3 linked regions of the Xenopus tropicalis genome follow. The protein of the gene in region 2 purifies or fractionates together with the protein of the main gene of each other region. This does not show direct contact. Links are inferred from orthologs where the notes say so. Each region holds a gene or a part of one and is shown on either strand. Other genes may lie near its edges.

Region 1 (4,190 bases), on a different chromosome or scaffold from region 2:
GCTTCATTTACTTTGTTATTCTGAGGAACTACTAAAAAAGAAAGAAGAAAGTTGCACATCTTCCAACATTTGAAAAACTAAGAGAGGGACATAGTTAACTGTTTTGAGTAGTGGGGCGGTGCATATTTTAGCCACACCCAATGTGTAACCACACCTCTTTTTACATGTTTGGAAAAACAGACACAGTGGTGGTCTCTCGAGCATTTCATGCAGCAAGCTGGACTCCACCTACTCTCTAGGCAGCCATGCTTTATATTGTATGGGGAGTGAGGTCAAAGTCTCAGCTTGTGGGGCTTTGATGGGCTGACAAGAAATTGGGACAATAAAGTTGTTGCTGTTATGGCCTCGGTTAGCAATTTCAGTAAACTTTTTTCACTGAAGAAAAATTGTTCCCATTAATTTCCAGAGGAAGATGTGTTACATCAAGGCCAGAGTTGTAGGATCCATATTGATAAGCATATTAATGGCACCAACTGGCAGCTAAACCCAAGTAGCAGACACCAGACCAGCAGCCCCCACTTTATAAACTAATGTAAGGAGCAGAGCGTAACCCCCAGAATTTCCCCCCTAAACCCACTGCATACACTGATATGAGCAGTAAACCCCAGATCAGTGGCCCTGCAGAATGCACTCAAGTAATTAGCAGAACCCAAACTAGTGGCCCCCACTACATGCACCGATGTAAATAGCAGATCCCAGAATAGTGGCCCCCCACTACATACACTGATTTAAATAACAGACCCCAAACCTGTAGCCCTCTGCTGTATGCAATGATGTAAGTAGCATACCTCAACCCCTCCATATTAGTAGCCCTTGCTATGTGTATTTGCATATGAATAGCAGACCCCATATCTATGACCCCTGCTGAATGCATTGATATTGATAGCAGACCCCATACCTGTGGTCCCCACTACATACACTGATGTAAGTAGCAGACCCCAAACCAGTGGACCCCACTGGATGCATTGATGTAAGTAGCAGACCCCAGTAGTCAGACTTCAAATTAGTGACCTCCTTCCTATGTGCACAAATAAATGGCAGTGACAATTGAATAATGGTTTGTACTAAATGTAACGGCCACTTTCTGCTTCTCATCTCATAATAATATGTTATGAAATGCAGCCTACCTCCAAGGCACACTTTGTTTTGAGGCACGAAGAGTGAAATAGCAGTGAGTGAGATTGAGCAAGGGAGGAGGGAACAGGAGAGTCTGGCTCTGCTTCCCTATACGAGGGGGTGGAGGACACTTGTTGGAAGTGCCTGCTTGGGGGCAGAAAGGAGGAGGAACACAAGGCTGCCCAGATAGACGTGTGATTACACGGTAGTGTTTTAGAAAACTCCCGAATCTAACAAGGGAAATCAAAACAAGAAGCACTAATTTTCATTTCTCTACAATGTACGTTGGAGTTATCCTAACTGGACGGAGCTTTGTGGATTTCCTGATTTAAAGAACTAAATATTTCAGCACCTCCTTCCCAACCTGGCTGATCATTTACAGTGCTCCAATCTCCATTGCCTAGAGCAATTCCCAGTTCCAGCTGCTGGTTTAAGGTAACATGCTGTTGTTTAAAGTCATGCCCTAGGTTAGGTAGTGCAGGGAGAGAGACTCATGCCTCGGCAGGGCCTGACCTTTGTTTGTATAGGAGCTTCAATCACTTTGTTATTCTAGGGAACTGTTAAATTCCTGTGTGGAAAAGAAGGAAGAAAGTTGCATACCTCCCAACTTTCGAAGAAGATATTGGGCCCCCCGCTGCATGCGTAGATATGTGTAGCAGATACCAGACCTGTGGCACCTACTGCATGCAGAGATATGAGTAACAGAATCCAGACCAGTGGTCCCAACTGCATTTATTGATATAAATAGCAGACCCTAGACCTGTTGTATCCGCTGCATGCACTGATGAGGAAAGGACCAGTGGCAGCAGCGGCACACACTTATGTAAGTAGCTGACCATAGACTTATGCATGCAGTGGCCTCCACTGCATGCACTGATGTAAGTAGGAGACCTTAGACTAATGGCTCCCAATGCACTGCTGTAAGTAGCAGACCCCAGGCCAGTGGCCTCCCCAGCATGCACTGATGTAAGTAGCATACCCCAACCCCCCCTACACCATATGACTAGTCCTCCTATGTGTATTTGGATATGAATAGCAGACCCCAGACCTGTATCCCTGCCGCATATGAGGCCAAAGTAGTCAGACCTCAGATTAGTGACCCCTTCCTATACACACAAATAAATGGTTATCACATTCCTATGCCAATGGTACCCCAATATCAGAACTCAGATCAGAGGGGGGCATGAGGTAAAGGAGATGTAATCAGTGTGTGATCAACAAAGGAATGTGGCAGCTCCCCATGGTAATGAAATGTAAGAAGTTAGCCAATGTCTAGATAATGTGCAGGCAATGATCTATATAATCTATAAATCCAACAAAACAGAGGGGCATGCTATTTTATAATATAAAATACTTTTTAAAATAATACTTGGTGTTTTACACTATGGGAGCGCATTCCAGTTTTGTTTGCTTTATAATATGAAAGTAAGCACGCACCCAATACACTGACCACACCAGGTTTATTCCAACATTGCAACACACATCATATTTAGGATGAATCCGCTTCACTTTATGTTTTATTTGTGTCCAACAAAGGTTATTCTGCTTAAAAATACAGTGCATCCTGCAATGTTAAACCTGTTAATTTTTACATCTGTAGTGTGTCTCCTTTCATACATTTTGTGAACTGCACAAGTAATTTAAAGTAAGCTCACAATGACAAACAAGGCTATGGCAAAACAATGCAACAATGCTCTCTTTTTAAATTCTAGCACTAATTATTATGTAATATATAATATGATGTTTTCATATTATTTACATGCTCTGATTAAATATCATCCTAATTTGTTAGTTGGCAACTTCTGTAAAAATTTGCTCATTTGGTGATATTGCCAAAGGGCCAAGTAGTATCACTAACCTTCTATTGCTGATAAAATATCCATGCAGTTCAGGAAAGACAACTAAAGCCATATCAGTAGTCATGAGTGAATCTGTCCCATTTCGCTTTGCCGAAAAATTCGCAAATCTTTCGAAAGATTCGCGATACGGCGAAAAGTTCGCAAAACTGCGAACATGACGCACGTCAAAAAAAACCGTCGGCAGCAACTATTTTTTTGTCGCCACGGCTATTTTTTTGTTGCAAGGCTATTCTTTTGTCGCCTGCGGCTATTCTTTTGTCGCCTGTGGCTATTCTTTTGTCGCCTGTGGCTATTCTTTTGTCGTCCGCGGCTATTTTTTTGTTGCGCAGCTATTTTTTTGTTGTGCGGCTATTCTTTTGTCGCCCGTGGCTATTTTTGGATGCTCGACGAATTTTTCCTCGGCGAATTTTTTCATCGGTTTCGCGAAACAATCCGCCAATTTGCCGCAAATCCAGACTTGCTTACATAATAGAGCTGCGGCTCTACATTGGATCCTTGGAGCATTGCAGGCAACACTGCTAGTAAGATGGGTAATGCTGGTTCACACAACTAGACACACTGAACTATTTTATGTTTCATTTCTCCATTACATCACTGAATGGAAGGATAATAAATAAACTCTAGCAGTCAAATCTTTGGGAAACCCAAAGGGGCACATTTACTAAGCAATTATGAGATAAAGTTGGATTTTTTCTCACTTCTAGATAATTTCGAGATTTACAAGTGGGTTTTCACCAGAACTCGTTTTTTTTTTTTATTATTCCCAGAAAAATTTGAGTTGTTCTAAAATAACCCCCATAATTTGAGTTATTACTGTTTAGTTAACTTTTTTGTAAAATAAAAATTTAACAGGTTTGATCTGTTGAGTACCATTGAGTCCTATGGAGGCTTAGAATAGTCCCCTCATTGTTTTCCGTTTCACCCAGCTTCAGAGGGGAACTTAATCCTCTCACTGTTTTCAGTTTCACACCTTTAAAGGGGAAGTTAATCCCATAATCCCATCGCTGAATTTTTTATATTAATATTTTATTTGTGCTGTCTTTCATGTTCATTGTGACCAGGTCAAAACCCAATAAGGCACATTTACAAACACGACCACAACTACTCCATGCAAAAGCAGATGCAAAGTTATGTGTATATCTGTACCAATCATAACAGGTACCTGCACCGATTTAGCTCCCTTCACTCCCCTGTACTTGTCCTGAGCGTAAATGC
Region 2 (3,655 bases):
CCTGACTTGTAAATGCACATGTTTAGATTGTAGCATTTGCAAAATAATGCACTCAAAATTTATTGGAGCCTGCCAATAAAAGAAAAAAAAATGCAGTGGAATCCACTTTCCATCACAAAAAAGATCAATAAGGAGAGCTGAAAGAATAACCTGCAGGAATGTCCAGTAGGATTTGGAAACCAGAAACACAATAAAGCATACAAAACCTGCAATGTGCAGACCAATGTGCAACTGCTTCGTAAGAATTACGACTGATAACAGGACCGTCAAGAAGTGGTGTGAAACCCTGTGCCCTGCAAGCACTAGCATTGGATTTATTTGAAATGTAGAATTGAATTAAGAGGCTGTATGAGTAGAAAGGTCTGCAATCATTTTCTTCTTCATCCTGTAGAGTGAATTTGTTTTATGGACATGTGTTAACATGAGCCTACAGGGGGTATTAGGACACAAAAGTATCTGTATATAATACAGTAGTTACATTCTCAGGTTGGGGGGAATTCGTTTATCCTTGAGGATACACAATACTGTTGAATTAAGCCAGCAGCATGTGTGTAAAAAAAAAAAAAAAAGGCAGGCAATCGTGAGATTGAAAACATGAGAAGTCAACATGTACTGTGTCACACCACGATAAGGATCCCAAATTTTCACAGCAGAAATCTCTTCTCATAGTCAGCTCTGTATATTGGTTAAGATTAACCGTATTAAATAAGGCAGACAAGATACAGAAGTGAATTTTCCAGTCTGTAAAATGTATCCTTATCTGTTCAACTGGCAACGGAACTGGACTGGATTGTTGCATTTGCCACCTAATTGTGTCCAAAGCCAAGGCAATATTTTCCAATTAGAAGTTCTCAGCTGATCTCCATGAAGTCTCTCAGGCCCACCCAAAACAGGCAATTAAAATATGAGGGAGAAATAGAGATTTGGCAAAAATCAATGTAAGGAAACATCTGCATCCTTCCACAGACCAGCAGATTATAAGAATATTTTATGGGCACTAAGGTGGTAGCTAGTGCAAGACAGGTAGGTCAAGAGAGCCCAATAAGTAATTATTACTGTGCTGAAGTCTTTCTGGTGTTATATCTCATATTCCTGATATTGTGGAGTCTGTCTCTCAGGCCAAGGAATGGCTCTTTTGTGACAGAGGACCCCTAGCCTTGCACTTGCTTCAGTGAAACAGTTCCTTCGCTTTGATATGCTCTAGCTGTTCTCGCAGATTCCTAAAAGTGGGTCGCTGTTTTGGGTCCAGATGCCAACACTGCTTCATCAAATCATATACAACAGGAGGACATCCATCGGGTGCGTCCATTTTATACCCATTCTCCACCTTTGGTACCACATCTTTGAGGGCCTAAGAAGAAGGAAACAGAGTTTAAGAAATCATGATTAGAAGATTCATTAATTATGATAGAAACACTGTAAAGTTGTAAAATCCAAACTGCCTGCATTCATATGATAAAGTGTATTAAAAAAAAAAAAAATCAGTAATTAATGAATAGGGCAACCCCCCCCCATACATGTTTCACTCACCAGAGTAGCAGGGTGGGGAACAATATTTTCACTGTTGCAACCAGGCAGGCTTTGGATCTGGATCTGCTGTCAGCCATGAAACCCTGCCAAATGTAGCCATAACAGGATATGTGCATATCCAACAAGTGGCCCTTGCTCTATTCCAGCTCACATAACACAGGTCACATTATGTCTGTGTACATCAGTGATCCTTGGCAATTCCAGGCAAATCCTGCTTGGTTGTTAGTGACTATATTGCTTCCCCAACCGCAGCCTGGGCTGTGATACTGTAGTGTTATACAGTATATACAAAATAATAAAGGCTTTCACTTTCTCAAATGAGTCACATCAATCATTAAATCTAATGAGTGGTGTATGAACTAAACTCTGCCCAGTGAATAAATTGACTGGATTCAAAACTGTATTGTTACTTACAATGCGTGGATAAGGCACTCGCCCAAAGGAATAGATCTCCCATAACAGAATTCCAAAGCTCCAAACATCAGACTTGGTTGAAAATAGCTGTAAAGCAAACATATGTATAATTAGTAATGCACCTTTATTACAGCATTAAGCTTGAAATTCAAATATTGGATTTGCCATTCCAAAAAACAAGAACCAAAGAAACAGCACAATGCAAAGAGAATATCTACTCAAAATATTCTTGTGTTAAACTTTTATGGAAAAATAGTGTTTTTTACCCTTTAAATTACAACACACTATACTGAATATATGTTACTGCGACTGTATACTTTGTCAGTACTTTGGAGAAGATTTTGGAAATTCTGCCCCCCCTATCCCCACTTTTTTTCTGACATTTCTTGATTTCACCCAATATATGCATAATTTCTAAAAAGAGCTTTAATTAGAAAGAGCTTTTAATTAAAATGTTTTTTTTTTTTTTTTAAAAAGATTAATCGCCACAACTTCTAAAAAATTCGTTCGCGGCTACTTTCCCACCATAGGATACTGTATAAGTCACTGCAACTAATCGCGCGTGGGTTTTCACTTTGTGGATTAGTTGCCACACTTTTTAAAAAGTTGTAGTGACTAATCGTTGTGTGTGTCTTCGCCCTAAAATATGGCAGAACACAGCAGAGCTGATAGCAAACATTTAAAGCAAGACATTATTCCAGCCACTGGCACTAAACACACTGAACCTAAGCTTCTTGCTACAAAAATTCATAATGTGTGTTCCCTTAATCTCCCAAACATTCTACTGTACATTGCCAAAAAATGGAATCCTTGGCCATAAGCTTTTTTTTGGAAAGGAAACCCTAGTACTTTGTCCTAAATTATATGGCACAAATACTATAACTTAATACGGAAAACTTGTAATGGAGGGCAATTTTACACTTGCCTTATCCCGCAACGCTTCTGGTGCTGTCCACTTAACAGGCAGTTTGCTTGTGTCCTGTATGGCGGATGCTTCCTTGGTGAGTCCAAAGTCACTGACCTTAGCAATATTTTCTTCTGATACCAACACATTGCGTGCCGCTAGATCTCTGTGCACAAAGTTATTACTCTCAAGATATGCCATACCTTCTGATACATCCCTGCAGGGACCAATGAAAAAGAAAACACCTAAAATTCAATGTCTGATTGGGCATCTACAGTGAAGTTAGTTCATACAGTTTAGGTAAGTTTGTAATATATAGCTTGCTAAAACTAGCCCCTTGGATATCAACTACCATCTATGTAAAAACCCCTTAATCTTTGATCTGCTGGTATGCAAGTACCAAAGAATTGTTTGGTGGGGCCAAAGCTACCAAGATTTCAACCAAGCTTTTCTTATTTGCACCACAGCTGTTTAACAACTACTACATTACCTGGATGTACTGTCAGGCCCTAGGAGATCCAGTATAACTACTCCATTTTTTAACAGTTCCATAAATGTATTACGTTTCCATATTTAAAGGAACAGTGAAGGGTCCCTCATATTTAAATACAATGGTATCACTAAATACAACATGCCAGTAAGTTCTTTTGTACATTTTTAAAACTTCAAAATTAGAAACAAAACTTATATTTAATCTACAGCTTGGGAAAGCATGCTACATTTGAAGAACTGGTGGCATTTCATATTAAGCACTTGTGTGCAAAGTGGGCTGCAGTCTACTAGATGATTTTGCGGTTCTACAAGGGC
Region 3 (3,180 bases), on a different chromosome or scaffold from region 2:
TGCCACCACATGACTTTCTCTGACCTTCAGGCTCCTTCCCCAGAGTTCCTTCCCATTCAAGAAGTTATTGTTTATCTTTTGTGTGCTCCCAGCATGACTTTGGTGATAAAATTAACAATGGCTGATGCTGGCTGCTCAGGGTCCAGTTCTGCAAAAAGGTGGCACACGTTTTCAGCTGCAGTGCCCGCCTTTCGAGCCACAAAACCAAACACCCTGCAATGGGGAAAAAAACAAAGAAGGCTTTAGTCAGGGAAAGAAGAAACAGATGGGGCAGCTTGTGCAACAGCCAATCAGTGAGACTGAGGGCTATAAACAAGGCACTTTTGCTTTCTGAGTTATTCATCTTAGGGATTATTAATGAGAAAAAGGCCAAAAGGACACATATCTGCCAGTGCTGCTCTCTGCACTCTGTGCTGTTTTTCTTGTGCCCCTTGGTGCTCTCACACTTGAGCCATCTAGTTGGAAAGGGGCCCCCTCTTACTCCTGTGCAACCAATATAGATCCATTACTCTGTTTCTGCTTTATACAGCAGGAGTATGCACAGTCTGGGGGCTACTCTATTCCAGCTACTGCTCAGTAACACCAAACAAGCCTTTTACCATTTACATAACTGTTTAGAAGCTGGAAGGTGCCAAACAGATAAACCAACCAATTCCAAGGGCATGAGGAAATATTCCTCAATAGATGATGATGGAGCTGTGTCTTAATAATGATAAATGGACTTTAAATGGCAGAAAATGTATTTTTTGTTATGTCGAATGCTGATTTATTTTAGAGAGCAAGAAAACATAAGCAAGCTCGATGCTGCTCATTCCTTCCTGCCTTCCATTCCAAACAGACTATTGATGCAGGGGAACCATAAAGCTAGTGCCACCTATTGACCAGGCAGTAGCTCCAGGGTTCACTTTGCACCCAATGTCAATAAGTACAGCAATGTTTCTGGAGACCAGTTTTTATCCATGCTTCCTCTGGCCTCCAATAAAACATGTTGTCTAGATGCCCTAACTGAAGGTGCCTGCATATTCCTCTCATTATAAAGAAGGCCCTGCATTGACTACATTACGATGGGAAGCAATTGCAAAGCCAGAGTAAAAATAAAACTATACATACTTCGACGTTGTCCTGTCTGGATTGGTCCACCTGCAAAAATATTAGGAAATAAGTTCTTTGTAGTCAGAATTTTCTATGGTTCTTTTAACTAATGAGCAGTTAGATATTTTCTAGGTGCTTTGTTAGTACAGTTATAGGATTCTAACTGAATGGGTACCTGCGATCCTGTGGGTCGCTATTGCAGAATGTTACGCTAGAAACAGGATAATGACGCCTGAAGAACAGTCTGGAACACATGAAATTATCATAGTTACATGACATCATACCACTGAGCGCTACAAGCACTGTAACATAAGCCCGACTCACTTTCTCTGGCTGTCAGTAAGAGTGATACCCTGGTCAGACACTTTGAAATGGACCGTAGTTGCACTGGACCGTGGGGGTGTCAGGATGGCATTTGATGCTCTGGAAATGGCCTGGGGTCCAGTTAGAGATTCTGTGTCCACAGAGCCAAGGTAGAGCACACTGCATGCTAAAAGGAAAGCCACACAAAGAATGAAGTTGGATCCATTCTGATTCAGAATCTACCCCTAATTTCATCTTGCTTGTAAGCCACTTACCTGCTCCTTGTCTCAATAAATCTGCTGCTGTGCTCATGTTTGTAGGCACCATGACCTCTGAGCTCTGCTCTATCAGATCTGGGAAAGAGAAGATTCAGCCAAAGATTAATTCTTTGCTATTCCTAAAATATACAGGATTTCCTTCTAATCAATGGCGTAACTTTGCACCAGCAGAAGCCAGTAGAGAAAGGGACTTGAAAAAAACCCCCAAATTTCACAACTCAATAGTGGGCAATAGTAGGGAGTGTCAAGATTCCATAATAGTGCAAGGGGAGGGCAGAAAATACTGTACATAAATTGCATATCTTAAAATGTGCCCCAAGACTTTGCATCCTACTCACCACGGGAAGGGATCTGAAGTCTGCATGGCAAAGAGAGTGGGGTGACTGAGTGCTGAGACACCAGGGCGGAGAGGCTGCCTAAATAAATGAAACACAAATTAGCAGTGATTCTAACAAAGTCTAGTTTGGTGACTAAAGGTGGTCATACGCCTGAATATACACACATTTGGCAAGATCTTTGCCCTATTTGGTCACCTTTGTCCTGGTCTATATAAGGCATATCTGATCGTTACAATCAGATAATAGCAGAGGCCAATGCAGGCCGTCAGGAGAAGACTGCATCATCGCTTACACGTTCCATGCCCTAACAGGATTTATTTTACCTATCTGACAGCAGATGATCATGGTGAAATGGACCTGTTTAAATGGACCAACTAGGCCGTCCCATATCAGCACACGTCCTAAAGCTGACCATAAACAGGAAGATCTGCAAGGTTGCCAGACAAGTACAACTTTTCCTGCTTTGGCCACATGGATGGAAGGAAACATTGTGCTGATTGACCTTCAGATTTTCAAACCTGTCTGATAGTCATACAGGACATTATATTGGCCACATACTCAAGCAGCCATTAAGGTACAGACTTGGCCTGGATTGGCCAGACAGTGTATGGTCATTTAAAGATTAAAAAGCTGGACTATCAAGGCATTATGCGCTGATTCATAAAATAATCATAATAGAAGCAGTCATTTTACCAAAATGGGGTTCAATTGGTGATCCTTTTATCTTCACTCCTTTTGGTCCAGTCTCAATGAGGAAATGGCGAACCAGCTGCTCCGTAGAATCTCCTGTGGCACAAAAATGGAATTAGAATATAACTAAATCGAACAACACTCCATAGATAGTTCATTGTTGTGTTGGGCAACCTGCAGCCCTGCAGACGTTGCTGAAGCTCCAGGTTGCCCGTGGCTAATCTAACATCAGCTCTAACTAGCATGTTACCTTTATAGGGCTGCGCTGCTACATTTGGAGGAGGGCTGGCGACCTTCAGTGCCAAACCATATGCCCCACGGAATGAGTTACTGTCCCGAATAAGGAAGGAGCCTGGCTCTGCACCTCTTAATATGGCAATAGCTGAAAGAGGAAATATAAGGAGAATAAGTAGCTTTATAACACACAGCAGTAGCAAATGTTTTATGCAACTGAAGCAGGGTGATTAACCAATTGTTAG

Evidence for each region.
Region 1: the proteins of csk (region 2) and tns3 purify together in Homo sapiens (affinity purification with mass spectrometry; 4 studies listed by BioGRID and IntAct, with this or other methods). This does not show direct contact. The link is inferred for Xenopus tropicalis from reciprocal best matches to the Homo sapiens genes CSK and TNS3.
Region 3: the proteins of csk (region 2) and tns2 purify together in Homo sapiens (affinity purification with mass spectrometry; 6 studies listed by BioGRID and IntAct, with this or other methods). This does not show direct contact. The link is inferred for Xenopus tropicalis from reciprocal best matches to the Homo sapiens genes CSK and TNS2.

What each region holds. Positions count from the first base shown.
Region 1 is NC_030682.2:58,935,620-58,939,809, forward strand, and holds the start of tns3 (tensin-3), read left to right. Parts: upstream 1-1,325; 5' UTR 1,326-1,551; intron 1,552-4,190. UniProt on the Homo sapiens protein: May act as a protein phosphatase and/or a lipid phosphatase. Involved in the dissociation of the integrin-tensin-actin complex. EGF activates TNS4 and down-regulates TNS3 which results in capping the tail of ITGB1.
Region 2 is NC_030679.2:94,042,724-94,046,378, forward strand, and holds the end of csk (tyrosine-protein kinase CSK), read right to left. Parts: intron 3,066-3,655; coding exon 2,870-3,065; intron 2,032-2,869; coding exon 1,945-2,031; intron 1,352-1,944; coding exon 1,169-1,351; 3' UTR 290-1,168; downstream 1-289. UniProt on the Homo sapiens protein: Non-receptor tyrosine-protein kinase that plays an important role in the regulation of cell growth, differentiation, migration and immune response.
Region 3 is NC_030678.2:147,549,914-147,553,093, forward strand, and holds part of tns2 (tensin-2), read right to left. Parts: intron 3,084-3,180; coding exon 2,952-3,083; intron 2,798-2,951; coding exon 2,705-2,797; intron 2,090-2,704; coding exon 2,012-2,089; intron 1,749-2,011; coding exon 1,671-1,748; intron 1,583-1,670; coding exon 1,417-1,582; intron 1,337-1,416; coding exon 1,268-1,336; intron 1,141-1,267; coding exon 1,111-1,140; intron 214-1,110; coding exon 72-213; 3' UTR 1-71. UniProt on the Homo sapiens protein: Tyrosine-protein phosphatase which regulates cell motility, proliferation and muscle-response to insulin. Phosphatase activity is mediated by binding to phosphatidylinositol-3,4,5-triphosphate (PtdIns(3,4,5)P3) via the SH2 domain.